Elephas maximus indicus: one gene and its partners. The protein of the gene in region 2 purifies or fractionates together with the protein of the main gene of each other region. This does not show direct contact. Links are inferred from orthologs where the notes say so. Each region holds a gene or a part of one and is shown on either strand. Other genes may lie near its edges. The genes, in order: POLH, RAD18, SLF2 and SHPRH.

Region 1 (7,122 bases), on a different chromosome or scaffold from region 2:
ATTAATTCATTTTTCCCATGATCTACCAGGTTCTTTTTTACTTACAAAATGGCCTTTTCTTTTGCTAAAGCAGGCACTCTAGCTCCTTGTTGAAGGATTAGTTTCTTAAAAAACAAAGAAAAAAGCCACTCACGTTAGGAAATAGGACTTTCTTGGGGTAGGGTATCCCTTACCACTTGCCGGTACTTGTTTAAATTTTCTTGAAGTGTGTTAAGTAGAAAAGCGAAGATCCTTTCCATGTTCTGGGTTAATGTTTGCTGGATATCCCTTCTTCTTTGAGGGGGAAGTGTCTGAAAGGTCACCACATCCTCCGCCAGTCGCAAAAGGATGAACATCACTAATTCTGTCTGTGTTTCCTATGCCAACAGAAATAAGCTAGTTAAATTAAATTAAAATGCTGACTCTCACCCCCCCACCAAAAAAAAGACAGTATAAAAAATTTGAAGATTCCAGAACAGTATATTGAATTGATTTATCCATTCTTCATACCCCTTGTTTGGAAAGAGCATCCAATTCTATTAGCATGTCAGGCCAATGCTGTGGCCACTCTCGCTTGATCATTTCTACTACGATGCGAGACAGAACATCTTTAATGTGGTTCTCCTCTTCCAAAATGTTTAATGTTCCCTGAAAAAGAATGAGAGATACTGAGAGATCTGCAAGATCGAATTTAAGGAACACCGGGCTGTAAAAGTATATAAAACTCATGAGCAGGCCTGCTTTTAAACTAAGTACAACAAACAAACCTGTTCATCATGTTTGAGTCACTTACCCTGCATTCCCTCTAATCATTCTTCCCACGTAAAGCTTAAGTGAGGGTTGTACCACTAATAAAATGCCGCTGAAGAGCAAGGAAGACATCACAGCTCTCCCTTCAAAACGAAGAAACTCTCATATAGATTGTTTCATTTTTTGAGAGCGTCACAACAGAAAAGTATAGAAATAAGGAACAAGAGTATGCTGAGAGAATGTTAAAACTGGAGGGTCTGGAGATGCAATTAATATTTTACCAACAGTTACAGTATTAGAAGATACAGAAAGATTATCACTAGGTTTCTCTTATTCTGAAGTTTGAAAATGTCAAGACTAAGGAAGTATGATTTCTATTGTCGCCCCAGAAACAGCACTAAAAAAGTATTAGCTAAATAAGTTAATCAGTAATTATAAAAGCTTTTTTTTTTTCTATTGAAGACACTAGATTTTGGAGATGAAAAGGGGTAGGGACTCCATCTTTCATACCCTTTTGTTTAAAAGAAAGGAAAGAAAAAAGGCTATAGACTTTAAACATTTAAAGTCATCTTCTAACTGGGGAAACAATTCATTCTACATATTTTTATTACTAGTATCATACAGTACAGTTTGGAATAAAAGATAACAAACAGCAAAGTTTTAATCTTTTAAACCTATGAATCCATTCATTTGCTGAAAATGTTTAATCTCTTCTGTCCTATCTTTATATTTTAAAAACAGAAGCCAGCACGTAAGGGATGAAATTAAATCTAGTAAGAGAAGTTTGGGAGCCCTGATGGAAAGGTGGTTAAGCTGCTGAGAGGTGGGCAGTTTGAACCCACAAGCTGCTCCACAGGAAAAAGATGGGGCAGTCTGCTTCCGTAAAGATTTACAGCCTTCGAAGCCCTATGGGGCAGTTCCACTCTGTCCTGTAAGGGCATTATGAGTGGGAATTGACTTGACTGCATTGGGTTTGGTATTTTTTGGTTAAATGTAATGAATTATGATTTCTTGTTAATGGTAGTCCTTCTACCTTAAAGGTACACATTTAACATTACACCAAACATGCTCTTTGACCTACATAGAACCAGTGAATTTTTATGCAAATGTTAAATTGAAGAAGTCATGTTTTGTCTAAACTACCTTGGAAACACAAGTCTTCCAACCAACCATTCCTTACATTTGCAATCAGCTCCATGACACTGTTCTTCAGGTATACTTTCTCCAATCGAGACATGCTGTTCCATCGAAACCTGGCCACCAAAAAAGAGAAAGTCAGAAACAGAACCCATTAGAAGGCTTCTCTTCAGAAGAAACTAGTTTTGATTCCTGTGTTAGATTATGTTGGCAATTTCATTAGAAAATTATACTTTTGATTTTGTACCCTTCAAAGAATGGGCAAAAATAGTCCACATTTAACCAAAATGCTAGAAACAGAAAAATTCCAGGGGTTTATATATACAGCACTCCATTAACCGGAATTCACATAGGATTTATGCACACATCAGCTTCCCCCATGATTTTATTAATAGACTGAAAACAAATATACATCTGGGACAACTACAATATAGTCGTTTTTTCCAGAAAACACAATCTGATAACACCAACTACCTTATTACGCTGGTTTACAAGGTAATAACAGCACAATTCCAGAAAACCTGAGGCTAAGTCTTAAAAATGGATTTCTGTGATAGGCATTGGAGGAGTTTTCAGTTATTCACATATAATATTGCTTTGGAAGTGCCATTCAGAGACGGTACACACTCAAAACGTAAAAGAAAAGAAAATCAAAAGTAATGTCCAATCACAAATTTATTTATCTATACGCAGTATGGAAACCCTGGTGGTGTAGTGGTTAAGGGCTATAGCTGCTAACCACAGGGTCGGCAGTTCGAATCTGCCAGGTGCTCCTTGGAAACTCTATGGGACAGCTCTACTCTGTCCTATAGGGTCGCTATGAGTCAGAATCGACTCAATGGCACTGGGTTTGGTTTGGGTTTTATACACTGTATAATCCTAAAGAGGCTTTGAGATCTGCCGGCATATATAGATATTCAATAAATGCTGGGTGAGTGACTAGCAGCTATTATTTTTTGAATGCTTAGTATGTAGCAGGCACTTTACAGGATGAAGAAATTGAAGAGCAGAAAGGTTCAGTCTTGAATGAGAATTCCCTGGAGGATCTGATAATTCTGGGTATTATTCCTTTTTCCCTTGAAGAATGCTCTATTCTGCTTACTTAAAGAACATCTAGGGAGCCCTGGAGGCACGTGACTACTAACTGAAACGTTAGCAGCCAGTCCAAGGAAGAAAGATGTGGCAGTCTGCTTCCATAAAGATTTACAGCACTGAAAACCCTGTGGGGCAGTTCTGCTTTGTCCTATAGGGTGGCTATGAGTTGGAATCCACTCCACGGCAACAAGTTTTTAAAGAACACCTCTGAGTTATCCAAGAAATAAAGATTTGCTCTCTTACATACTTCAGTGGTAAACTCGTAAAATGCCTTACTTGACAACGTGTTCCAGGATCTGAAGGCCAAAATGCCTGACGATGGCAATTTGTGTTTTCTCAGCCAGCCTCAGGCCACACGGGACACAAATAGGGCACTTTTCTTTAAACTCTTCACAAAACTGAAAAATAAAAAGTTAGTGTTTCTCTTGGGCGTTAAGACAGTGTGGAGACTAAATAAGCTTCGTTCTAAGAAATTCTAATCTGATCAAATCTAGATTACTACTGTATGAGTAAAGAAATGATAAACATTTCTTTCACTCTGATGGTTCCAGATTTTCCATGGTACGGCCTTACTAATATTAAAAAAAAAAAAAATGACCTAAAGGAGTAAAAAAAAATTGTTAACGATATACCCCTGCAGTACATAAAAGTGAAATGACAATTTCTAGGATTTGTTATACGTCAACAAATCCTGCTGTATTTAGAACTTAAAAGTACAGAATTTAGGTGATGAGTATACCCAGGAGTCACTGCAGTATTATCTCTACTTTTCATGTCTGTTTTAAATATTCCATAACAAAAAACAGACTAATAGAAGCCAGTTGTTTTTTATTTCAAACCCTGGCGCATACATCCATCTACTGTAAAGTTTCCTCCAACTGGCGCTATTTTATGAAATTGCACACTTAAAATATATACAGCACAAATATTTTTTCTAAGCAGCCATTTCTCAGAGCTCACAAACATTGTTTGATAGGGGTATAAGCTCTTTTTCTAATAACATCCCCATTTGTACTAGGATTCCGGAATTGTAACACATGAGTCAGTACCAGGACCAAAGCATCCGGGACTCAAGAAAACTACTTTCAGGAAACCCAAGTGCCCTTGTTAAAATGCAAAGTAAGCGGTAGAAGTTCATCTTTGCTCAAGACTATCACACACTAAAAAACGTGGGGCGCGTAAGAACTAGCCCAGAAATGCCCAAGACACAGAAGAGGGGTCAGCGAGAGGTGTATGGATGTAAGTAAAGGTGTACTAGGTGGACTGGAGCTTGGTTAGGATGGATCAGGAGAGTGTATCAGTAGCGAAACGTTTAGTGCAGGGAAAACTCTAAAGAAAGAGATTGGTGTTGGGGGCGGGATCAACACGTGCGCCACCGGAAGGCGAAGAGATGCGGGATTTGGAGCGCAGCCTGCGTGAGGAAAACGGAGGGACGAAGGGCAAGCGCGGCGAGCAGTGAAGGCGGGGGAGGGAGAGGCGTGGACCGCCGCCAGGGAAGGCCCCCCCAAGGGTTGGGGAAGGAGGTCCAGGGGACCGGGGCCGGGGGAGTCGGGGTCAGGGGAGGGTCTCGGACCAGGCCCGGGGGCGCCAGGACCCCGGCTACCTTGAGGGCTTCCAGCCGGTAGCGCTGGGTGGAGCTGGGGTCCATCATGACCGTCACCGCTTTCACCAGCTGCTCGCACAGCGCGTTCACTTGATCCATCTCCATGGCTAGCGCCACGCGCCGCCAGCGCGCAACGCGGCCGTCCTGAGAGCACGAGGCACGGACGGCTCCCTTGGCGGCACCACAAGCTGGTACCGGGCCGCGCTGGGCTGGGGGATGGGGAACGGGGGGAGGAGCGTGAGCTGCTGAAGCTCGAGCCAGGAAGGTGCCGGCGCTGCGCACGCGCCCGAGCCGCCAGTGCGCACGCGCCCACGGAAGTGGCGGCAGCCTTGTGACGTTTACTGCGGTGGGCGGAGCGGGCGACGGAAGGGTCGCGGTGCGCAGGCGCGTCAACGGTCCTTATCGGAGTGCGCGCAGTCTGATCATCTGTCAGAAGGGCTTGCGGCTTAGCGCCTAGATCTTGGCTGAACCACACTCCTGGCTGTGCGGGCGCCTGCCCGGGCAAGGATCCTTCGCGACCCTTGGCCCATTTCTCTGTCGACACTGGGAATAGATCTCTCTCGAACAACTGGACTGGTCCTGGAAAGGCGACAAGATATTCAAGACCCTTTCATCTCCCTTCCAGTGGACTCCGAACCCAGCAACTGCGGCTTCCGCCGTTGACAGTTCTGCCAGGTGTTTATCACACTGGTAAGAGAGTTTAGAATTGTGCAGTATCAATGTTTTTAGACTTTTCATGCTGCCTTGGCTATTGGTTTTGTGATACAGCAGAGGCTGGTAACAAAATTAGCCCCCCCCCCAATTTTTTTGGGTGGGGGGGGCCTAAGTTACGTGAAAATAGAAACGTAGTTAAGGCCCTGGTATTGTCCTCTAAGGGGATTTTTCTTTTAGAAAAAATATTTTTCGCTATAACTCTTAAATCTCCCTCTTCACTTGTACTTACTTTCCTGGATATGTCATCATTTCATAGGCACCAAACTTGTTTTGTACATATTGGAATGACTCTAGATATTTAAAGATGAATAATTACAATTATTGAAGGTTCGTGTGGTATTGACAATTTGCTATATATACGATTTCAAAGTAGCGTAATTCTCGTTCCCAAAGCATGGTTTTGGTAGAGTGTGTTTCATTTTCCATCCTTAAAAAGCTCTTGCTTTCTCCACCAAAATACATAAACTGAACACCTCAACATCTTCATTATCTGTTAAAGCCTGCATATCTGTTTCTGTACTCACTAAAATGTTCACTGGGCTTAAATCACTGCTTCCTATGCACACTCCAGTTCTGATATTTGTATCTAATATGATACTTTGGGCTGTGCTGTTTTTGTTACAATGCATTTACTATTTTTACTCAGGCATTATCTGTTCCAGTACTACATAAAAGCCAATACAAAATAAAGAAATTTCTCACATGCTGTGGTTTTAACTTACACATGTTTAAAGTATCACATTCTGCCTGTTTTAGATGAGTGGTCAATAGGAATTTATAAGGAATTAATGCCTTGAATACTCTGATTTTCTTCATTCTTTGTTGCTCTTTCCACTTGTTCCAGCTTTGTAATTGTGTGACACTTTTTTTTCAAGGTGTATGTCAATTTTTTACAGGCTTTTTTAAGAATACAGTTGGGTGCTTGCTCAACTGTATAGCCTGTTTCTCAAATTTAAATCATCAGTTACTGGTGTTTGTTTCCATAGGTATCTTATTTACTTTAAGTTAGTGGTTTTCAAATTCTGCTGCATATTAGAAATGCCCAGGGGAGTTTTTAAAAATCACAATGCCCAGGAAGCACCCCATACCAATTAAATTAGAATCTCTGTGGGTGGAAACCAGACATCGGTATTATTTAAAAGTTCCCAAATGATTCCAATGTGCAACAAAGTTTGGGAGCCACTGCTTTACTTTTATTCCTTCTTCCAGATCAGTAACAATGTTAGATGATAACATTAGTCTGTACCCTCCCTCAAATATGTAGGGTGTATTCTTCCAACTACCATCCATTTCTTTGTTTATGTGTGTATCTGCGAACAGTGTGCAGTATTGTTTGTGTTCAAAGTTTACATAAATGGGTAGAAAATCACCATTAGAACACTACAATAATGATTATTACAGCAAGATCCACTGATGAGTGGTTAAATTAGTGGTGAAAGTTTGAGGAGAAGTAGGATATTATCATAGTCTCAAAGTATCTCCTTCAAGATGATCATTAGTTACAAAAGGAAAAATAGTAACTTTTCAGTGACAAATCCAGGGAACACTACCTTGTTGTTAGCTGCCTACAAGTGGTCCTGACTCATGGAAACCCCATGCACAATTGGATCAGACCATTGTGATTCATAGGGTTTTCAGGGGCTGATTTTCCAGAAGTAGGTCACCAGGCCTTTCTTTCTAGTGTGTCTTAGTTTGGAAGCTCCACTGAAACCTGTTCAGCATCATAGAAATACGCAAGCCTCCAATGACACTTGAGGTGCACCAGCTGGAGACTGAACCCAGATCTCCTACTGGAAGGCAAGACTCCTGGTTCGATACACTTAGAAAAGCTTGCCAAAAAATGC
Region 2 (7,124 bases):
GGGTGTGTCTTAAATCAATACGTGTAAAAGCACTGAGAACAGAGCTTTTCATACAAAACAAATCAGAAAACCAGTTATCAGCAAGTCAATACCAACTTATGGTGACCCCATATGTATCAGGGAGCCCCGGTGGCTCGGTGGTTAAGAGCTATAGCTGCTAACCAAAAGGTCAGCAGTTGAATCCATCTGCTGCTTCTTGGAAACCCTATGGGGCCAGCAGCTCTCCTCTGTCCTATAGGGTCACTATGAGTCAGAATCGACTGGACGCTGACGGGTGTGTGTGTCAGATTAGAACTGTGCTCCATAGGGTTTTTAATGGTTAATGTAGGTTACCAGGTCATTCTTAACCATTTGTACCACCCAGGGACTCTGCTTTGAATACAAGTACCTAGTAAATGTCAGCTACTATTGTAATGGATGTTGAAGTCCTTTGTGCAAATGCTGTATACTATTGCTATTACCCAATGAGTATTTGCAGACAGGCTGGGAAAAATCAGGGGCCAGAGATTCCTTTCAACAAGATCCCAAAGGAGTGAAGCCAAGGCTTAACTTCTCTGAACTCCAGTGTCCTTTTCTGTAGAATGACTATAACAACTTTACCTCTGCCTACTTCACAGGGAAGCTTGTGATGGTTAAGATTGTGTGTCAACTTGGCTAAGCCATGATTCTCAGTGTTCGTACGTGAATACACCCATGATGGGATCTGCTGTGAGTAGTCAATCAGTTGAAAGGGAGTTTCCTTGGATATGTAGCCTGCATCCAAATATAAGTGGATGTTTGTTCGAACTTTTGCCCTTTCTGGATCCTACAGCTGCCTCTTGTTCATCTGACCTCCGGTTTCTCAGACTTGAGCTAGCAGCTTACCTGCTGATCTTGGGATTCGTTGATCGTCACAGCCTGTGAGCTATAGTCCTGCTCTCTGACCTGCTGATCTTGGGTTCACCAGCCCCTGTAGCTATGTGAATCAGGGGAAGGCTTGCAGTATTGCCTGCTGATCTTGGGATTTGTTGACCTTCACAGCCTGTGAGCAAGAGCCCTGCTCTCCAACCTGGTGATCTTGAGTTCGACAGCCCCTGCAGCTATGTGAATCAGGGGAAGCCTCTATTCTGACCTATGGACTTGGCGTGCTCCAGCCTCTTTAAACACGTGAGCTGTTTCCTTGATATAAATCTCTCTCTCTATGTATATAATTACATGCTTTACTGGTTTTGCTCCTCTAGAGAGCCCAGCCTAAGACAAAGCTCAAGTGCCTGGCCCATGGTAAGCACAGGGTGACAGTGACAAGCTGCAGGGCTCTGCCCTTAGCCAAATATCTGTTCTTACTTGCTGTCCGTGAGACATGGTGCAACAGAGGTCCCCATAAGTCAGTAAATAAATGCTGAGTTGAGCAGACAGGCTGGAAACTGAGCTGGTCAGTGTTTCTCATGTGGGCAGCAGGCCCTCTCATATTATCAGTGAAAGTGTAAATGTATTGGTATGAAATTTTTTGGAGAACTATTTACTGCTAGCTATCACAGTTTTAAAAGAGCAACAAATTGGCTGAGTAGTTCCATTTCTAGGACATCACCCCCCAGATACCTTGGAAAAAGTGTGCCAAGGTTTATACAGGTGAATGCGTTCACTGCAGCTCTTTGTAATAGTGAGAAACTGGAAACAATCTCAACGTCCTTGTCTTAGTTACCTAGTGCTGCTGTACCAGAAGTACCACAAGTGGGTGGCTTTAAAGAACAGAAATTTACTTTCTCACAGTTCAGGGGTGTAGAAGTCAGAATTCAAAGTGTGGCTCGAGGCCCTTCCTTGTTTATTTTCAGCTTCTAGAAGCTGCCAGCAATCCCTGGAGCTCCCGGGCTTATAGACGCATCTGTCCCCTTAGTCTGTCTTCCTCTTCCCCCTGTGTTCCTGTCTGTATGTACATATTTGCTCTTTTTGTAACTCAGAAGTGATTAGGTTTATGACTCACCATACGCTGGTATGACTTCATTAACATAATAAAAGTTGTTGTCATTGTTAGGTGCCCTCAAGTTAGTTCGAACTCATAGCGACCCTATGTACAACAGTACAAAACTTTGCCTAGTCCTCCATCCTCACAATTGTTGCTATGTTTGAGCCCATTGTTGCAAACACTCTGTTAGTGCATTTCGTTGAGGGTCTTACTCTTTTTCATTGATCGTCTACTTACCAAGCATGATGTCCTTCTCCAAGGACTGATCCCTCCTGATAACTTGTCCAAAGTACATGAGATGAAGTCTCGCCATCCTAACTTCCAAAGAACACTTCTTCTAAGCCAGACTTATTCATTCTTCTGGCAGTCCATGGTATGTTCAATATTCTTTGCCAACACCATAATTCAAAGGCACCAATTCTTCTTTGGTCTTCCTTATTAATTGTCCAGCTTTTGCATGCATGAGAGGTGATTGAAAACATCATGGCTTGGGTCAGGCATACCTTAGTCCTCAGAGTGACATCTTTGCTTTTCAACACTTTAAAGAGGTCTTTTGAAGCATATTTGCCCAATGCAATACATCATTTGATTTCTTGACTGCTGCTTCCACGGGCATTGATTGTGGATGTGAGTAAATGAAATCCTTGACAACTTCAATCCTTTCTCCATTTATCATCATGTTGCTTATTGGTCCAGCTGTGATGATTTTTGTTTTCTTATGTTAAGGTGTAATTGATACTGAAGTTTGTAGTCTTTGATCTTCATCAGTAAGTGCTTCAAGTGCTTTTTACTTTCAGCAAGCAGGCTTGTGTTATTTGCATACCGCAGGTTGTTAATGAGTCTTCCACCAATCCTGATGCCACGTTCTTCTTCTAAAAGAAAACTTCCTGTTTCCAAACAAGGTCACACTTACAGGTACAGAGATTAAGTATTCAACATTCAATCCATATCACACCTCAATATGGGAGTAGATGAATAAATTTTGGTACATCTATTTTATGGATTATGTAGCTATTAAAAAGAATAAGGTAAACTATATGTACTAGCATGGAGAGATCTCAAGATGTATGGTTAAGCAAACAAACCAGGGCTTTGTACCAGTTCCTACCAGTTTGAAACCCCTGCTGAGAATTTGCATTTCCACCCCAGATATACTGAATCAGAATCTACATTTTAACAAGATCCCCAGGTGATTCCAACAAATTCCCAGGCAGTTATACATAAGAATCACCTGGGGTCTTGTTAAAATGTAGATTCTGACTCAGTATATCTGGGGTGGAAATGCAAATTCCCAGCAGGGAACTTCTTAGAAAATGCACGTTCTCAGCCAGGGTTCCAACTGGAAGGAACAGGTCAAAGCCCTGAAACAAATGCACACAAGAAAAACAAGTTGTCTGAGTTATGCATTTAATATAACATTTGTGGGGAAAATGTATCTATGTTTATATTTGCATAGGAAATACACGGAAGTCTGTATGCCGTTGTCACCAATGATCATGAAGATGGCACGGAACCTGGCAAAGTTTCTTTCTGTTATACATAAGGGGCCCCACGAGTCGACCAACTTGATGGCAACTAGCAACAACATAGTCCAAAGTTAACAGTGATTATCTCTAAAGAGCGGGACTAACTTTTAAACGAACATTTTCGTTTAGGTAAAAGAAAGAGCTTCACATTTAAAACCCAGAGGCTAGATTTGGAGTTTGGTCGATACCACTGCTTGACTTAAGGAAACTTCACTTTTTTGGACTGCATCTTCTTCTTGTGTAAACTGACAATGATAATACCTACCTCCCGGTGTTGTGATAGGGAGTGGCGTGAAATAATGGATATGATAACCCCTGTTCAGAGCAGGCTCAGATCAATACAGCAATCAGGGAGGGCGACCCGAAGGAGGAGGGATAAGCCTGACCTCGAAAGATTTGGCAAGGCTTGGATTTGGCTTATTTTGATTCCTGAATGCCTTTTCCTAACATTCGATAGCCATCTATTTGTCAAAGATCTGGTACAAAACGGTCTCCAAGCCTTTGAATCACCCATCCTTCCCCTTCATCGGTGAGAGGCAGGGCATAACCCCGGCGCGTGCGCAGTGCGAGCACCTTTGGCTGCGCCCCGCCCACGTACTACAGCTCCCGGCAGGCTTCGCGCAGGCCGTAGCTGCGTCGTGGACTGATGTCGTGGCTCAGTAGCGCGGGGAATTTCGAGTGGCCGTGGAGCGCGGGAGACCAGTGGGAGGCGGACCCCCAGCTTCCCCAGAAGCGACCATGGACTCCCTGGCCGAGCCCCAGTGGCCTCCAGGCCTAGCAGTCATGAAGGTGAGTGCTTCGGAGAGGGAGGGGGCGCCCAGGCGCCTGCCAAAGGCCGGACCAGCGTCAGGGGAAAGGACGAGTTGGCGAGCTGGGCCTGGGTTTTCGACCCTCTCTGCCTTTTGCTGTCCGCGTGCCTCTGCGCCTCAGTTTCCTCCCCTGAGAAGTGGCGAGGACAAGCCTCGGTGTGTCATGGTGGGCTGAGGTTGGCTTATGGAACCGGGTATTCTGCGGTTCAGCCATAACAGTAACAGTGACATCGAGAAAAACCAGTTACTGCAAACGGTGACAACGACGATGACAGCTAACCCTTTCAGAGGGCTTACTTTGTGCCAAGCAGTCCATAAGCTCTTACAGTACACTAGTTGAAAATTTACCAAAGTGACATTGGACATGATTTTGTGAGGACACTGCATCGAATAACATCCTGTAACGAAGCAGGTAATCTCTTTTATATTCTTTTTCATTTCTTCTAATTACTCTGTAGAGGCTTCGTGCTGGGTTGTGCTAACATATGCCCTAATTCCTCCCTACCATGTTCTAACAACTCTCTAACAATTCCTCATTTCCTTCTCTTTTAGACAAAGAGATCAGGACTCAAGGCTCAGCACTAGCCTTCAATAGATTAAAAAAAAAAAAAAAGATAGTTTCATTTAAATAAGCATTTATTTTTATGGCTACTTCCTGTTTTTTGGCAAGGCATACCAGTTTTTGATCACCTCTGGATTCCTGCTAGATTTGCTCAAGAACATGTTCACTTTGCTGTGCTGGATAGCATTTGTTGCTTGTTTTTTTTACCTTTGTGATTGTGGGGAGGATCACTTTCTTGTTCTTTTCCTCGTTTGTAAACTGGGGATTATGGTATCTGTTCCTCTAACTTGTAAGACTGACTTTGAGGATCAAGTGAAGGGACTTGGGGAGGCTAGCATAATGATAAGACCTTGTTCTTCCTACTGTCAGCAAGTGTCATCTCTTGTGCTTGGGGACTTAAGACATCCTCATTTTACACTACAAAGAGTGGAAGGATCCAGGAGAACTGTGGTTTCGAAGTTGTGGTGGCTTTGGTGCCAAGATAGAGTGGAGAAAAGCATAAATTTTGAGCTCCAATTGTTCTGGGTTAAATCTGGACTTTGCCTCTTATTAACTGTGACCTTGAGTCAGTTACTTAACCTCTTTGAGCTTCAGTATCCTCAACTCTAAACTGGAGGCAAAAATGAACAGTTCATGTTGTTCTTAATTGTTGTCAAGTCAGCCTCTGACTCATGGCGACCTCATGCACAATGGAATTAGACTGTTGTAATGCATATTTCATTGGCAGATTTTTGAAAGTAGATTGCCAGGCCTTTCTTCCTGGCCTGCCTTTCTTCCTAGTCTAGAAGCTTTGCTGAAACTTGTTCAGCATCAGAGAAACATGTAAGCCTCCACTGACAGATGGGTGGTGGTGACTTTGCTGGAGTGGAACCTCAGTCTCCTATATGGAAGGCAAGAATTCTACCACTGAACCACCGCTGCTGTCTGAAAACAGTTCATAGGATTGATTAAACGAGTTGATGTATGTGGGTTGGGATCCTTTTGCTTTGTTCATTGTGGTTAACACGGCATATAGTGGGTGCTTAACAATTATTTGTTGACTGATTGAAGGTATCTGAAATGTAGTAAGAATTGAATTAATTTATCTTTATTACTATTAGCAGAAGCCTGCACTGGTGGTGCAGTGGTTAAAGCACTCAACTGCTGACCAAAATTTGACAGTTCAAACTTAACACTGCTTGCAGGAAAAAGATGTGACAGTCTGCTTCTGTAAACATTTACAGCCTTGGAAACCCTATGCGGCAGTTCTACTCTGTCCTAAAGGGTTGCCAGGAGTCGGAATCGACTGGATGACGGTGTGTTTGGTTTTGGGGTTTATTGTTATTAGCATTTAATGAGTTCTGTGCCCTTCCTTCTCCTTTTTATTTGCTGTTTGAAGATTGAATTAGATAGAGAAAGCCAAAGAGCTCTGTAACCTGTACATCTACTGGCTTTGTAGACTTCAGCATATTTTATGTGTTTTCACAACTTCCACAGTGTTCTCCAGTGGCAGCTTCCCTGTCTTCTCTGACTGTATGTATACATATGTGTATAAATCCAACCAGACTCCAGCTCTTTATATAAATAAATACAGGGTTCAGCACCAGAGAGTGTTCAATGCTGGGGCTGACTGAACCCATATTGGGCTCACATTTGAATCACGGAATATTGAGGTGGGGAAACCAGCCCCCTCCAGTATTTTAATACTTTTTGTAATGTATCTGCCACTTTCTCAGTTTTGGGATACTGATGCTATAGACTTCGTAAGATTGTTATGAAGATTAAACTACATAATTACCATTATTATGTATTATTGTTGATTTGGTCTCTGATTTTTTTTTAATTTCCATCAAAACATGAACATTTTCCTATTGCATTAATTATTCTTTGAAAATGTGTTTTTTAATGGTTATGTAATTTCTTCATGTGTACTATCAGTAACAGCGTTTTCGTTTTGGTTACTTTTTCCAAATTTAGGCAATATACTAACATGGTTTAAGAAATACATAAAATGAGAAGTAGAAGCCTCCCCTCTACCTTGTCCCTCATTTCTGCAGTTTTCTGACCCCCAGTGTCCATTATCTGTTATTTTCCTATGCATCTTTTCAGAATTTCTTTATATGTATATGTAAGATAAAAATGGAATGCATTCTTACCCCACCCCGCCATACTTTGGACAAAAGGTAGCATACCACGTGTGTTGCTTACACCTTGCTTACTTCTTTTACCTCACTACGTATTTGGGCCATCTTTCCGTATCAATACATAGGGGAACACCCTCTTTTCCTTTTTAGTATTTGCTCAGG
Region 3 (7,257 bases), on a different chromosome or scaffold from region 2:
TACATCGCTGCTGTATTTAAATAAATATATATGTATATATTAGTACATGAAGAAGTATAAGTTTTGCAAATCAACACTGCAGTGCACCAATGTTCTCTATTCCATTCTTTTTTTTTTTTTTAATGTGGTCTGTGACCCATTACATCAATTTAAAAACCCTCTATTGAATGGATTGCTACCTGAGTATGAAAAACACCTGATTACAGGCTTGAGTCCCTAGAACCAGTATTTCCTAAAACATTTCTCATACTTCAGACATACAAGGAGTATCTTGGCCTACCACCATTGGTAAATGAATGACTCCGGGAGAAATTTGGGAATATATATAAATGCTTATTTTACTAGTTATTGAGTTTTACAATTATCACTCATTTTGGGAAAGTGACGTGATACTGACTTTCTACTTACGGAAATAATACAAAGTTTTTTTCTAGAATAATAAATGTATTTAAGGTTAAAAAGTAATTTAAAGAAAAATATTCAGTAAATAATAAGAAACATTCAGATATGTCAAAAATCACAAAGATGTTACCCCTGTATCTGAAGTATGGGAAACACTATCTTGCTACCATTCCATAACGAAATAACGAGAAACTTATTTTCCTTAACATCAGATCTGCTCTTGCACATTTTTACTAATTATATTTGGCTTTTCCCCAGAAGTCCCTTAAAACCAAGCCAGTGCCTTTTCCAAGCACTTGTTTGGCCCTTTTGAGTTCAGTATCCATTTGCAAAGTGATTTGTGTGGATCTTGAGAGGCTGTGAGCTCGCCTTCCCTTTTTTTTTTGTTTTGTTAAATCCTCACATGGTCTTTCTCTGCTAGGCTTTTGAGTTAATTATTTCCTGTTTCTCTGAGTCTGTTCCTTATTCCCCTTCCCAGGTCACCCTCTACCTCCACCTCCACACACACAGACTCTTGACTTCCCGCAACTCTGCCACAAATTGGTCCTTGTCCCTTGGCTTGCCCAAGAGTACTCTCCAACAAGGCCTTGGAGTTTATACCATAACGCAGCAATCTCAGAGCAAAAATATGTCATTACTGCAGAATCAGAAGTTACTTTTAGAGTTCCCTATTCTTGTAACATTCTTCCTAACTTAACTAGCCTTTTGTTCTCTTAGTCCCAGCCTGCTGAGCTCTAAAGTACTGCTCCATCCAATCTGCCCAAGTTGTTTTTTTCTCTACGTAACCGCCTGGATCTTTGACATCCGTTACACTCCTCTCAGTACTCCCACCTTGGGCGGGATTTTCCCAGCAAACTGTTGTTCATGTAACGTTGTTTCTCCTGCTGCCCCATCCCTTCCCATCAAGGCCCAAGCTTGCTCTCCTCCTTTTCTCTTTAACAATTCAGGGTGCTAAACTGAGCCACACTGTACCCAGTAGAAGTTTCATCCCTAGAAGCCACTCCATCCTTGTGGTCTTTGCTTCCGTATTCCCATGCCTAGAAATCTTCCCAAAACTAGCCTTTTATAGTTATCTAGCCTTAGTTGCTCTGAACTATCTTTCTGATCCTGGCTGAGGTCTCATTTTAAGCCTCTAATTTAGTCTTGTTTATTTGTTGTCTTCCCCCTCATTCCACCTGTTTTACTTTACCCTCTTCTTTGCTCATGTCCATACCTGGGCCCTTTTAACATCTTTCACCTAGTATACAGTTTCCTGGCCATCTATTTCTGGCCCACTACAAATATGTGTTTAAAAAAAAAAACCCTTACATAAACCAGATGTGTGTGTGTACACGCGTGTGTTTATGTTTGTGGTATATATGTACACATTTAAAGTATGAAGAGGGGTATATACACAAAATAGACTCTCCGACACTATATTGGTGGGGGGTGCATAGAGGCTGCCAGCAGTTCTGGTTAGTATGTTGAGCATATCTCACCCTGAAACCCAAGTCTGTATTATCTCAGACAAAGAAAAGCCTTGATACTTATTGAGGATTTAGATAACTACTTCCCTGTTAAGAAGAGATTTTTAAAATTGTGTTTTCATTATGACTCCATCTCCATTTATTGATCAAGGGATTTCTTGCCTCACTTAACTCCTTAATCTGTTGCTTAGATTAAGAAAATGTGAAAACTATTGTTTGGTATTGTGAGTATAGGCTCTAAAGTGATACCTTGGAGGTCGGATGATTCAAATACTGTAATTCAAGAAAAGCAACCAATTGATCATGCAGAACGTGTTTTTATGCACTATTCTTTGTAGGGACTGAGCAGGCAATGAAACGAATCAGATTAAATGTTTTACAGAAGTGCTCTGTTACAGAAGCAGGAACTTCCTAGTGTAGAAACATCAAACAGAAAACACAAAATCAAGATAGGAAATAATACATGTGAAAAGCCCTTAAATCAATGCATAAATTATTCATTTGACACATTTTGAGCACCTATTATGTTCTTTTTTATGTAAGGAACAATGCTAGGTATAGTAAATTCTCAGTTGATAGCAGAAAAGCGCCTTTTTTTTTGGTATTTCCTTTCTTGTACCACTACTAGAATATATAGCTGTGCACAGAGGCCCTCAATAAACTTATTGGATGGATGAGAGACCTGTATGTTCACTGTTTACCATCCACCTTCCACTTTGCCAGCCTGTTGGCCACTTTCCCCATACCCATTGCAGTCAATTCCGACTCACAGCAACCCTGCAGGACTGAGTAGAACTGCCCCATAGGGTTTCCAAGGAGCTGCTAGTAGATTCGAACTGCCAACCTTTTTGGTTAGCAGCTGAACTCTTAACCACTGCACCATCTTGGCTCCGCTGGCCACTTTACTACTCATTAACTCTTCCTCCTGAGGGATAATGAGAGGAGCACTGGTGACGCAGTTAAGTGCTGGACTGCTAACCAAAAGGTCCATGGTTCAAATCCATCAGTTGCTACATGGGAGAAAGATGTGGCAGTCTTCTCCAGTGAAGATTTACAGGTTTGGAAACCCTATGGAACAGTTCTATCCTGTCCTATAGGGTCGCTATGAGTTGGAATTGACTCGACCGCAGTGAGTCTAAGGGATACTAAGGAGGGGAAAGAAGGTGGAGTTCAGGTCAGCCAGGCATGCTTAGCAACCAAAGCAATTAAATCTTCGTATGATAAAATTTAAAGGCCTGTTCAAATTCTTTCGAGTCATTTAAGATTTTGTTCCATCCTAATTGGTTGAACAAGCTTGTCAGTTAGAGGTTGGGCATCCTTGAGATTGCTATTTTGGTTTTTATAGTTTTGGGGTAGTAGTATTTGACCTGTCTCTGGGAGTATGTACAAGAAGCTAAACTCAGCCTAAGAGTCTGTCTTGAGACCAAAAGAAAGATAATGTACTGAGTGCCTGTTACACGAGACTAAACTGTGCAGTTCACATTGCTTATCTATTATGGTTTACAATCATGCAGGAAAGTGGGTATTATATCCACTTTAGAGATGTGGAAACTGAGGCACAGAGATAATCTGACCAGTCTCTCATCTAATAAGGAAAACTCTTTGGCTAACAGCCTCCAAAGCACAAGCCCTTTAGGAAGGTGGACTGGAGATTGCAGGAGGCTTTCAATAATCTATGCTGTTCACACTTACCATGAGTAATTGAAAGCTGACCCTATGTTCCTTTTATGGACCTCCATGGAACCTGGTTGCAGAGATTTTATGGATAACTCATTTCAGCAGCTGAGAAACAAAAATGCTTTTATGGGATAAAAACGGTCTTTATTTCAATAATTTTTTTTTTCCTTTCTTTAAACGAAAGAGCAAAATCTACCACAAACAACAAGAACGCCCACATAATGGGCAAGTCTTCAGATTCGGCTGTACGGACTACTGAGAAAATGGTGACAGCATTAGGGCACTTTGGCCTAAGATGTTTAAGAAGCGATGTAATGAACAGCTGGGGGTTTCTGAGGGACACTTGTGCGGCACAGGGAGCCCAACCGTTGACCATCCTCACCGACAGCAGTTGGCCGGGTCGGTTTGCTTCTGCAATCCTAGCCCTTCGACCTCCCCTAGGCGAGCTTCTCCGGCTGCCGCAGCGCCCATGGACCTGTGTCTTCCCGCCCCCGCGCGCCCGCCAAGGCCGACGCTGCCTGGACTCGGCTGCGCGCGCCCCCCGCGCACGTGACGGGACGGGAGGGGCAGTTTTCCTCCTCCCCGCCTCCTTTCCGAAACTCCACCTTCCCCTGAGAAGCTGAGCTTTCTATTGCTCCACTACCGGAATGGCCGCTGCGTCAGCCAATCAGGACGCGGCTCCTGAAGTAGGACACGCCCCCTCCTGGTCCTCAGGTTCCTTCCCGCTCACACCGGAGTCACTTCCGAAGAGAGAGAACCGCCATGAAGAGAGAAGGGGGTGCCGCCCACCTCTGCTCCGACAGCCTCTCTGAGTCCCAGCAGCAAGACGGCAACCACGCACCCAATTTCGCCTGCCCCAGCTCATGCCGCCGTCGCCAGCGGCGCCGACATGACAAGGCGCTGCATGCCCACTAGGCCAGGTTTCCCCTCATCCCCAGCCCCGGGGTCGTCGCCCCCGCGCTGCCACCTGAGACCCGGCAGTACCGCCCCTGCTGCAGCGGAAAAGACAACAGAGAGTCCTGGGGACAGGTACCGTGCAGAGGGGCTGAGAAGGGGCCGGGTCGCGGGGGCAAGGGTATAAGGGAGGATTGAGGACGGCCGCTTTTCCAGTTCCCGCCATCCTCCGCGAGCTCAGGCCTTGCGTTCTGGGCCTGGCAAACCCCCGCCCCGCGTCCGCGCAGGGGCTTCTGGGACTACGAGTTTCTTTTTTTGTACTTGCGGAGCTGTTTGGGTCTAGGACCCCAGGGAGCCTGGGTGGCTACGGAGAACTCGCCTTAGGTAGACCGTGGTTTTTGTGCTTTGCGATAGCTTGACTCGGGGCCCTAACTGCCTGATGCATATTTAGGTCTTTTTCTCTACATTGTCGGTTTTACTGGTCCTAGTGGTTTAACAGTATAAAACTTTTCTATATTGTGGGTGAAGTTAGGTCAGGTGTAATGAGGAAAGCCTTCCACGAATTACATCTATATAGCCCAGTGTACACGATAATTTATACTTAACATATAGGTTTAGGAACGTGATATGGTTTCTCTTCCAGTAACTTTCAGCCTCTCTAGAGGCCAATTTCTTTGTAAAGATTTCGTGAACCAACTTTGTGAGAGATGTGTAATAAGATGGAGAATTTTATCAAATGACATCCTGTGTCGATAAAACGTGTTTAAATTCTATATGCACTTTTTTCTGTCTTTTTAAGTTTAAAAGCTTGTGACAAATTTAACAGTAAATTTATGTTCTAATATTGTTGTACAGGTCCACAATGCCTTATTTTAATTCAGAAAGCTATGAAAATCAACTTTTCAGTAAGTTTGGCACCAAACCTCATTTGGCAGCTTAACCTGACTATAGTTGATGTAAGGCTATTTATGGTCTTTATCACATGAAGTGTGAATATTCTAAGTTTTACTGGGGAGTCTGAATGTGCAGCCCCACACCCCACTTGGATGTACTTGGATACATCCAAGATAATAACCCCTTTCTAAAATGTGGTACTTTCAGAATTCTAATACAAATTTGGCCCCAGAAGTTTCAGATAAGGGTTTGTGAAGCTGTTGTAAATAATTAGTTTAAAAAAAAAAAACAGTTATAAAAACGTAGTGGACATTTCTGTGCACATGAACTTGCATAACTCTTCTTTCCTGAAAACTACATTGATGGCTATTTTAACAAATTTCTTGTTTTACTCAAAATCATTTTTGTTTTTCTGATGTATGTATTGAAAAGGAGTCTAATACCTAATGTTTCAGGGAAGAAACATAGTATTGTACTTAGTACTTATTGTAAAAACATACTGTTATCTTGTTTCGAATTAGCTGCTTCTCTCTTCTTTCCCACCTCTGTTTCCTCAACCAGGAAGGCCTCATCCTTCCTTCTAAAGGACCCGTAAAAGGACCCGTAGCACCTCTTCCTTTACTCTTGGAGTTAATTTGCCAGATACAATTTATTTTATGTGAACAAATGCACAGATACTTCCTTAGCCTGTCACTCATTCATTTCTTACCACTTAGCTTTTCTTCCAACTTCTAAAACATTGTGGATTCATTTCTTACCACTTAGCTTTTCTTCCAACTTCTAAAACATTGTGGATTCTAAGTAAAGATGGGCATTATTCTTCTAATGTAACCAGTAAAACGTACAAGATGTAGAAAAAGCTTAACCTTCAAAAAAAAAAAAAAAAAGCTTAACCTTCAAGGGATTTGGATTGTTTAAGTTTTCTCTGCGCATTCCAACCTCACAGTAAATAAATGTTTAGGGAAATCTATAGTCAGCAGCTTATCCTCTTTCAGTAAGAACGAATAGATTTTAGAAAAATTTGCCGGAAAGTAATTTTTTTTCACTCTCCATGTAATAACATCCCATATATGCAACTGACAAATAACTCTAAATACATGAACAAATCAAAATACAAATTTGGTAATATGTTCCTATCTCACTTTGTGTTCATCTCTCACTCCTGTTCAGAGAGTCTGTTCAGATGTCACTCAGTTTTGATAATCTCCATTATTCATTCAGCAAACATTTATTGAGCACTGTACTATACCAAGCTTTGGCGATATTAAGGAATAGGATCAGATCCCTGTCCTTAAGATCTTCATTCTACCACATAGCAGTGAACTTTTCAGTCTTAAGAAGCACTACTCTACCAATTCCCTGAATCCACGGTCCAGTCTTATCATTTTAGCATTATAGATTATATAAGCCTCATTTGTGCTGCTAACCAGAAGGTTGGTGGTTCAAGCCACCAGCCCCTTTGAGTGAGAAAGTTAGAGTAGTCTGCTTCCATAAAGATTTACAACCTTGGAAACCCTATGGAGTAGTTCTACTCTGGCATATAGGGTTGCTGTGAGTTGGAATGAACTTGAGGGCAGTGAGTTTGCTCTTTGGATTTTTGTGTTTGTATAAATGAACTCCTGAAGGAAGTGGTGAATCATATTTTCAGTTTTTTATAATCAGCTTAGCAAAGCATTATTTTCAGAACTTGATTATTTGAACCAGATAATGAAATCCAGCCTGTATTCTATAAATCTGACTCGCATTTGCCATTTAATCTGAATTACTGAGGTTTTAATATTTGCCTATGTGATACAATGTTAGTTATGCTTTTATTTTCAGAAATCAGTCAATTACAGATTTCTTCAAACCAGCTTCAAAACAAGGTATGTATGCTGTTAATGTATTTCTTGCTGGGTCTTTTTGGGAAGAGGGGGATGGATTA
Region 4 (7,362 bases), on a different chromosome or scaffold from region 2:
TAGGATAGACCTTGAAATGTTCTTTTTGACAAAGAATGCAACACCATTCCTCTTCAAGTTATCACTCCCGACATAGTAGATCATATAACTGTCCAATTCAAAATGACCAATACAAGTCCATTTCAGCTCACTGAAGCCTAGCATATCAATCTTTATGCATTCCACTTCATTTCTGACAATTTCCAATTTTCCTAGATTCATACTTTGTACATTCCATATTCCGATTATTAATGCATGTCTGCAGATGTTTCTTCTCATTTTGAGTCATGCCACATCAGCAAATGAAGATCCTGAAAGCTTGACTCAATCCACCTCATTAAGGCTGACTCTACTTTGAGAAGGCAGCTCCTTCCCAGTCATATTTTGATTGCCTTCCAAACTGAGTGGTTCATCTTTTGGCACTACATCTGACAATGTTCTGCTGTTATTCACAAGGTTTTCACTGGCTAATTCTTTTCAGAAGTAGACTGCCAGGTCCTTATTCCTAGTCTGTTTTAGTCTAGAAGCTCAGCTGAATTCTGTCCACTATGGGTGACTCTGCTGTATGTGAATACCAGTGGCATAGCTTCCAGCATCACAGCAACACACAAGCTCCCACAGTATGGCAAACTGACAGACATGTAGGGGGGTGCTTCCTTAAAAAGCTAGAAATAGAAGTTTCATACAATACAGCAATCCCACTCCTTAGTATACACTCTAGAGAAATAAGAGCCATCACACAAGTAGATATATGCACACCCATGATCATAGTAGCACTGCTCGTGACAGCAAAAAGATGGAAAGAACCTAGGTGCCCATCAACAAATAGATAAACAAATTATGGTACATACACACAATGGAATGCTACACAACAATAAAGAACAATGATGAATCAACCAAACATCTTACAACACAGATGAATCTGGAGCGCCTTATGCTGAGTGAAATCAGTCAGTCACAAAAGGACAAATATTGTATGAGACCACTATTATAAGAACTCAAGAAAAGGTTTAAACAGGAAAGAAAACATTCTTTGAGTGTTACGAGGGTGGGGAGGAAAGGATCGGGGAATTCACTAACTAGACAGTAGACGAGAATCAGCTTAAGTGAAAGGAAGAACAGCACACAATACAGCATAAGTCAGGAAAACTGGATTAATGCAAAAGCTAAGAAGTTTCCTGAACACAACCAAACACTTTGAGGGACAGAGTAGCTGGGGTTGGGGTCTGAGGACCATGGTTTCAGGGACATCTAGGTCAACTGGCATAACAAAGTTTATTGAGAAAATGTTCTGCATCCCACTTAGGTACGTGGCATCTGGGGTCTTAAAAGCTTTCGAGCAGCCATCTAAGATGCATCAATTCGTCCCAAACCACTTGGAGCAAAGGAGAATGAAGAACACCAAAAACACAAGGAAAATATTACCCCAGGAGACAAAAGAACCCCATAAACCAGAAACTCCATCAGCCAGAAGAACTAGATAGTGCCCCACTACCAAAAATGGCTGTCCTGTTAGGGTACACAACAGAGAGTCCCTGACAAAGTGAGAGAAAAGTGCGGTGCAGAACTCAAATTCATGGGAAAAGACCAGACTTAACAGTGTGACTGAGACTGGAGGAACCCCTGAAGCCATGGCCCTTGGACACTCTGTTAACCCAGAACTCAAACCATTCCTGAAGCCCACTCTTCAAAAATTTAACTGGACCATAAAACATAAAATAATACTCATGAAGAGTGTGTTTCTTAGTTCAAGCAGATACAGGAGACCAAATGAGCAGCTCCTGTCAGGGAAGCAGGATAAGAAGGCAGGAAGGGAAAGGAACTGGTTGAATGGACACAAGAAACCTGGGGTGGGAAGGAGGAGTGTGCTGTCACATTACAGGGATTGCAACTAATGTCACATAACAACATGCATATAATTTTTTGTATTAGAAATTAACCTGAATTGTAAACTTTCACCTGAAGCACAGAAAAGAAATCAAAGGACATATTACATTGGGCAAATCTGGAGCCCAAGACTTCTTTAAAGTGTTAAAAAGCAAAGATGTCACTCTGAGGACTAAGATGTGCCTGACTCAAGCCATGGTATTTTCAATCATTTCATCTGCATGTGAAAGCTGGACAATGAATAAGGAAGAACAAAGAATTGATGCCTTTGAATTATGGTGTTGGCAAATATACCATGGACTGCCAGAAGAACAAACAAATCTGTCTTGGAAGAAGTATAGCCAGAATGCTCATTAGAAGCAAGGATGGTGAGACTTCATCTCATGTACATTGGACATGTTATCAGGAAGGATCAGTCCCTGGAGAAGGACATCACGCTTGGTAGAGGGTCAGTGAAAAACGGGAACACCCTCAATGAGATGGACAAAGTGACTGCAACAAGGGCTCAAATAGCAATGATTGTGGGAATGGTGTAGGACTGGGCAGTGTTTCATTTTGTTGTACACAGAGCACATAACTGACTTGATGGCATCTAACAACAACAACAGCAATCTTTATGGGAGCCGAGTACCAGGTCTTTCTTCTGTAGAGCCACTGTGTAGGTTGGAACAACCATTGGAACAACCAATCTTTGCTACACATAAATTCATCAGTTTCTGGCCTCAAAGGATTTAACTCTGCAGTAACTCATCTACTTCTTCTTAACGAGTCACCCTCCTTGAGAACAACTTATAACATTCATTTGTAAAAAAGATGACTCGAGTTAGGGCTAGAATAAAGCTTACTGTCCCCCAAAGGAACAGGATCTATAGGTTTGGCCTAGTGAAGATACACAAGAAGCAAGTGAACTGACAGCCCTCACACTTATAGTCTGAAGAAGAAATAGCTGAATTCTTTGAAAACTGGTTGGTTCACTGGTACAAGCTGTTTCTGATCAATAGATTCCCAGGTGTGGAATGCCATTAGATTATCAGCATCTAATAGGTGCATGAACTCAGTGTCACGGGTGAACAGCTGTCTCACATCTAAACTTCTAAAGAGTCAGTAAGCAAATGTAAACCATGTTTTCTGAAATTAGTTCTGGTAATTCTAATACTGTATTCAACATTATTACGCCATAGAGAAAATTTTCAAATACACAGGGCACTCTGCAAATACAGGATTCAACATACCACTGGAAAATTCAAAAGGGAGAATTTTGTTTTATTGTAACCACTAAATGCCAGTGCATAGAAATATCTCTCATAGTGGATCTGGTGTTGAATAGCTTGCATAGGATTACCATAATTTTCTCTATAGAGATGAGTTAATCCAATCAAAGAAAGCAAACATGAAATGACCCAGTACTTTTTCTTTCTTTTTTAAAATATTTCTGCCTGGCACCAGCTGGACTCAACCCAACTATGGGCCCAATTTTCCTCTCCAGTGGTGAGAAGTGAGAAAAAATGATCAAAGACAACCTTTTACAGCACAATATACATTTAAATACTAAGTTTCAAATTACACTTTCAGAATAAAGTTTCCATTATGTCCTGTACTTGCAAAATGACTGGTTTCCAACAAAGAGGGACTCACCTGGCCCACTCTCCCCGCAACAGGACTACTTTTTCAACTTGCCTCAACTTGCCTTGAATAAGGTAACTGATTGCATCGATTTTTACAAGGTTTAGTTTATGTAAATGCTTAGAGGTCTGTGGTAAAGTTGTGTCCTACCCAGGATATGGATCACCTTGGACTATCTGCAACTAAAGCGAGTTTACTCTTAGGCAAGAACTTACTTTGTGCTTCTGTGGGGTGTCCCCCTCCACAGCAGTATGCTGAGTCCTTATGTGGCACTCACATTGAGTAGCTGATGTTTCCTGGGGGTCATTTTACGGGCACCTAGCCCTGAAGCCTCCCTTGACTATTCCAGAGTTAACTAAGTCTACCTCTATGAGGAAGCGGCTGCCTCTCACTGAAGGGAAGGACATACACTCGACGACTAGCTTCAGCACAATGCAGGTAGTTGTCCTCTCATCTTAAAACCTTTACTTACATTTATCTTGAAATTCTTAAAAACCATTTTTTAGGGGGAGATAAGATTCATCCGTACTTAATAGGTGGCTGCTTTCCAAAAGCAATAAAATGGTAGCTTTTTACAGAAGTTTTTCAGCCTTTTTGTCACAGGCACAAACCTCGTACACCTGTCGCTCCAAGGCGAGCCCAGGGCCCTCGGCGGGAAGCCACGCCCACATCTCTTGGTGCCCCGCCTCCTCCTTAGTGGTTCCAGCCAATCCTATAGACGCTATGACGAAGCTCAGCGCTTTCGCGAGACTACAACTGCATCCTTAGCTGGGCTTTAGCCTTGTGGACTTGCGCAGAAGAGACTCTTGAAGCCATCGCGGGAGAAAGGGGGCGTGGCGCCTCCGACGTGCGCGTTCGCCTTGACCCCACGCTCCAGCGCGCGCCCGGCACCGGGGAGCAGTGGTTACTGGGCGCTCCCGGAACCCCAATACAATCCAGCCTAAAGCGCGCGTGCTCCCCCCGGGTGGATTCTCTGTTTGATGGTGAATGCGACTCCGGGATCTGCGAAGGCGTTAGAGGGATCCGGGCGTTGGTGCTGAGAAACCTAAGAGTTTTGGATAACCAGCCAAGGTAGGGTGGGTGATGGTAGGGTCGGGGGTCAGAGGTTGGGGAAGGAAGGCATCTCTGGCCTCCCGGGTCACGGAAGGAGGACTCGGGGTGTCCCGGGGACTGGAAGCTAAAGGCTGAGCGGAATTCGCAGCGCGAGTCTCCCCCACCCCTTCCCCATCCCGACGCGCGGGCCTCTCGATCCCACAGCTCTCCCCGGCGGAGCTGGGGACGGGGGTCCGTGGGAAAGGAGGCGGTGTTGCTTCCCTTGGATTGGGGTTGCGGTTTTTTGTTCCAGTGACCACACCAGAGTGTCCGAGGGGCCTCGTCGCGCTCCTCGGCCTAGCGGTAGCTCGTTTGCCTGGCCTGCTAGCAGCGATCCGGCGCCGACAGCCCTGCTCCGACTCCTCGATCCGCTTTTGAGTCCTTTGGAAGAGAACTGAGTGGGTGTCTCCATTCGCCGCAGAAATGTCCTGGAGGCGGGAAAAGAAAAGCTAGACGCCTAGCTTCTTGGTGTGCGGGATTGTAATGTAGTAAAAGGGGAGGCCAAGGCTTCTAAATGAGTGGCTTAAAGTTCTGTTATATTCGCGTCAGAATCACCCTTGCACTACATTTCTGCTGAGGTACTTACTAGGTTTATCCATGAAGATCTGGTGTCTGATGATTGATGGTCACTCTCAAATAGCAGTATTAGTAAGAAATTACCATTAAGCTTGTGCCTTTTTTCCAAATGACTTGACAGTATCCACAGTGTTGGGTGTTCTTCTGCTTGTATTTAGCTTGAGGCTTTAACGGAGAAGAAATAAAATCATTTAAAAGTCATTACCGTTGTGCATGGCTTCGCCCTGAGTTTGAGTGACTCCAGAGCAGCGAACAACAACCACTATTTTTAATTATTCCAGTGGGAGATGAAACTTCTGTGAATAGAGTGGATCCACAACATCTGTATGGTCACGGAAAAGACTGGTCACTCATGCTGAAGCAGAGTAGCGGTGAGCAGCAGTGGAATAAGTGTGTCTGTGCTGGAAAACCTGCTTTTTCTAGAGCTTAGAAGCACCAGTAAGCTTGCAGATGAAGGGAATGAAATAGTTTGCTTTTCAGAGAATATTATGTATTCCTTTGGACCAACTTGAAAGAGCTATACTTTTAGAATTATTAAATCATTTGTTGAGAGCCTTTTTCAAGTTTATGTGACTAATGTCTGTTTTAGAGTTCAAGAGATGAAATTCAGGAGCCCTGGTGGCACAGTGGTGAAAGCATTCGCTGCTAACTGTAAGGTCGACTGTTCGAACCCACCAGCTGCTACTCCAAAGTTGCTCCACAGGAGAAAGATGTGGCAGTCTGGTCCCCTGAAGATTTACCTTGGAAAACCTGTGGGGCAGTAACCTATAGGGTTATTATGAGTCGGAATCAACTCAATGGCAATGGGTTTGGTTTTTGGTTAGTGGCACAGTAGTTAAGTGCTTACAAACCAAAAGGTTGACCTTTTGAACGCACCCAGCAGCTCCCTGGGAGAAAGTCCTGGAGATCCTGTAAACATTACAGCCTAGCAAACCCTGTGGGGTAGTTCAGCTCTGTCACACAAGGTCACTATGAGTCAAAATCAACTCAATGGCACACAACAATGGGTGAAATTACTCTCAATCTGCGGAGTTATCCCTACAGAAAAAGGAAAGATTGTTGTAATGCTGTGTTGTTGAGTGAGCATTTCCGCCATCAATAATGATTTGGGTTTCTTTCATTTCTCTTGCCTAAGGTATACCTGGAGCCCTGGTGGCACAGTGGTTAAATGTTTGGCTGCTGACCAAAAGGTTGGCAATTTGAATCCACCAGCCGCTCCTTAGAAACCCTATGGAGCAGTTTTGCTCTGTCCTTTGGGTTTCTTTTTCCCTTTTTTGGTGAAGTACACATTGGTACAGCAGTGTGGCAAAATGTATACTCCTTGTTTTCCTTCACAGCTTAAGCCCAGACTTTCCAGGAATTCATTGTAATTCAGGATTTTGGTGTGTCTTTTAATGAAGAGACAATAGTTTGGGGAAAAAAAATCTGAATTTAATTCATGTCCACTTGTTGTATTGTCTTATTAACTTATGTTTCAGTTTATTTTTCTAGCAATCTGTCTTTGTTTTCTAGCAAACAGATACACTTCAGTCAGTTTACTCTCTCTCATTCTGGGCCAGGAATAGTAAAAAAAAAAAATAGTTTCATGTTATCTGTAGTCTTCTAGGAAACTCTGGTGGCGTAATGGTTAAGAGCTACAGCTCCTAACCAAAAGGTCGACAGTTCAAATCTACCAGGTGCTCCTTGGAAACTCTATGGTGTCATTCTACTCATCCTATAGGGTCGCTATGAATTGGAATCAACTCGACGGCAACAGGTTTTTTTGTTTTTGTTTTTGTTTTTTGGTAGTCTTCTAGAGTATAGTTAAACGAGAGTTCTTCAGAAAAGAAGTGTGAGTAAAGTACATTCAGTTCTTACAACAAGGGAAGTTGTTCAGGGAATTAGAGATCTTCGTTTCACTGTATTGAGTATGTCATTTTTATGCTGGCACTGACCTGGCATTGGGGTATAACACTGAATAGGATACTCTCCCTGCCTGGCTTTCAAGTAGTTCAAAGTCATTTAAGAACCCTGTAACAGTTGGGAGAAGGAGGAGAGGCCCTAACTCAACTTGGCTGGTCGTGGAAGGCTCTCCAGGGAAGATTAGTACAGTAATAGGCGGAAAAGAGTGAAAAGAACATTTCAAGCAAAAGGTCTTTTACATTTAATCGCAGGGCAGTGAAAATGTGGTCCATATAGAAAACTGCACATAATCGTGTTTCTCCC

What was found.
Region 1: the proteins of RAD18 (region 2) and POLH purify together in Homo sapiens (affinity purification with western blotting; 7 studies listed by BioGRID, with this or other methods). This does not show direct contact. The link is inferred for Elephas maximus indicus from reciprocal best matches to the Homo sapiens genes RAD18 and POLH.
Region 3: the proteins of RAD18 (region 2) and SLF2 purify together in Homo sapiens (affinity purification with mass spectrometry; 3 studies listed by BioGRID and IntAct, with this or other methods). This does not show direct contact. The link is inferred for Elephas maximus indicus from reciprocal best matches to the Homo sapiens genes RAD18 and SLF2.
Region 4: the proteins of RAD18 (region 2) and SHPRH purify together in Homo sapiens (affinity purification with western blotting; 3 studies listed by BioGRID and IntAct, with this or other methods). This does not show direct contact. The link is inferred for Elephas maximus indicus from reciprocal best matches to the Homo sapiens genes RAD18 and SHPRH.

The regions. Positions count from the first base shown.
Region 1 is NC_064819.1:108,007,190-108,014,311, forward strand, and holds the start of POLH (DNA polymerase eta), read left to right. Parts: upstream 1-4,110; 5' UTR 4,111-4,200; intron 4,201-4,564; coding exon of another isoform or gene 4,565-4,669; exon of another isoform or gene 4,670-5,254; intron 5,255-7,122. Other genes in the region: XPO5 (exportin-5), read right to left, coding at 174-356, 490-627, 1,910-1,982, 3,238-3,359, 4,565-4,669. UniProt on the Homo sapiens protein: DNA polymerase specifically involved in the DNA repair by translesion synthesis (TLS). Due to low processivity on both damaged and normal DNA, cooperates with the heterotetrameric (REV3L, REV7, POLD2 and POLD3) POLZ complex for complete bypass of DNA lesions.
Region 2 is NC_064838.1:33,902,179-33,909,302, reverse strand, and holds the start of RAD18 (E3 ubiquitin-protein ligase RAD18), read left to right. Parts: upstream 1-4,107; 5' UTR 4,108-4,206; coding exon 4,207-4,257; intron 4,258-7,124. UniProt on the Homo sapiens protein: E3 ubiquitin-protein ligase involved in postreplication repair of UV-damaged DNA. Postreplication repair functions in gap-filling of a daughter strand on replication of damaged DNA.
Region 3 is NC_064834.1:52,571,128-52,578,384, forward strand, and holds the start of SLF2 (SMC5-SMC6 complex localization factor protein 2), read left to right. Parts: upstream 1-4,255; 5' UTR 4,256-4,434; coding exon 4,435-4,574; intron 4,575-7,154; coding exon 7,155-7,198; intron 7,199-7,257. UniProt on the Homo sapiens protein: Plays a role in the DNA damage response (DDR) pathway by regulating postreplication repair of UV-damaged DNA and genomic stability maintenance.
Region 4 is NC_064819.1:216,764,787-216,772,148, reverse strand, and holds the start of SHPRH (E3 ubiquitin-protein ligase SHPRH), read left to right. Parts: upstream 1-4,353; 5' UTR 4,354-4,560; intron 4,561-7,362. UniProt on the Homo sapiens protein: E3 ubiquitin-protein ligase involved in DNA repair.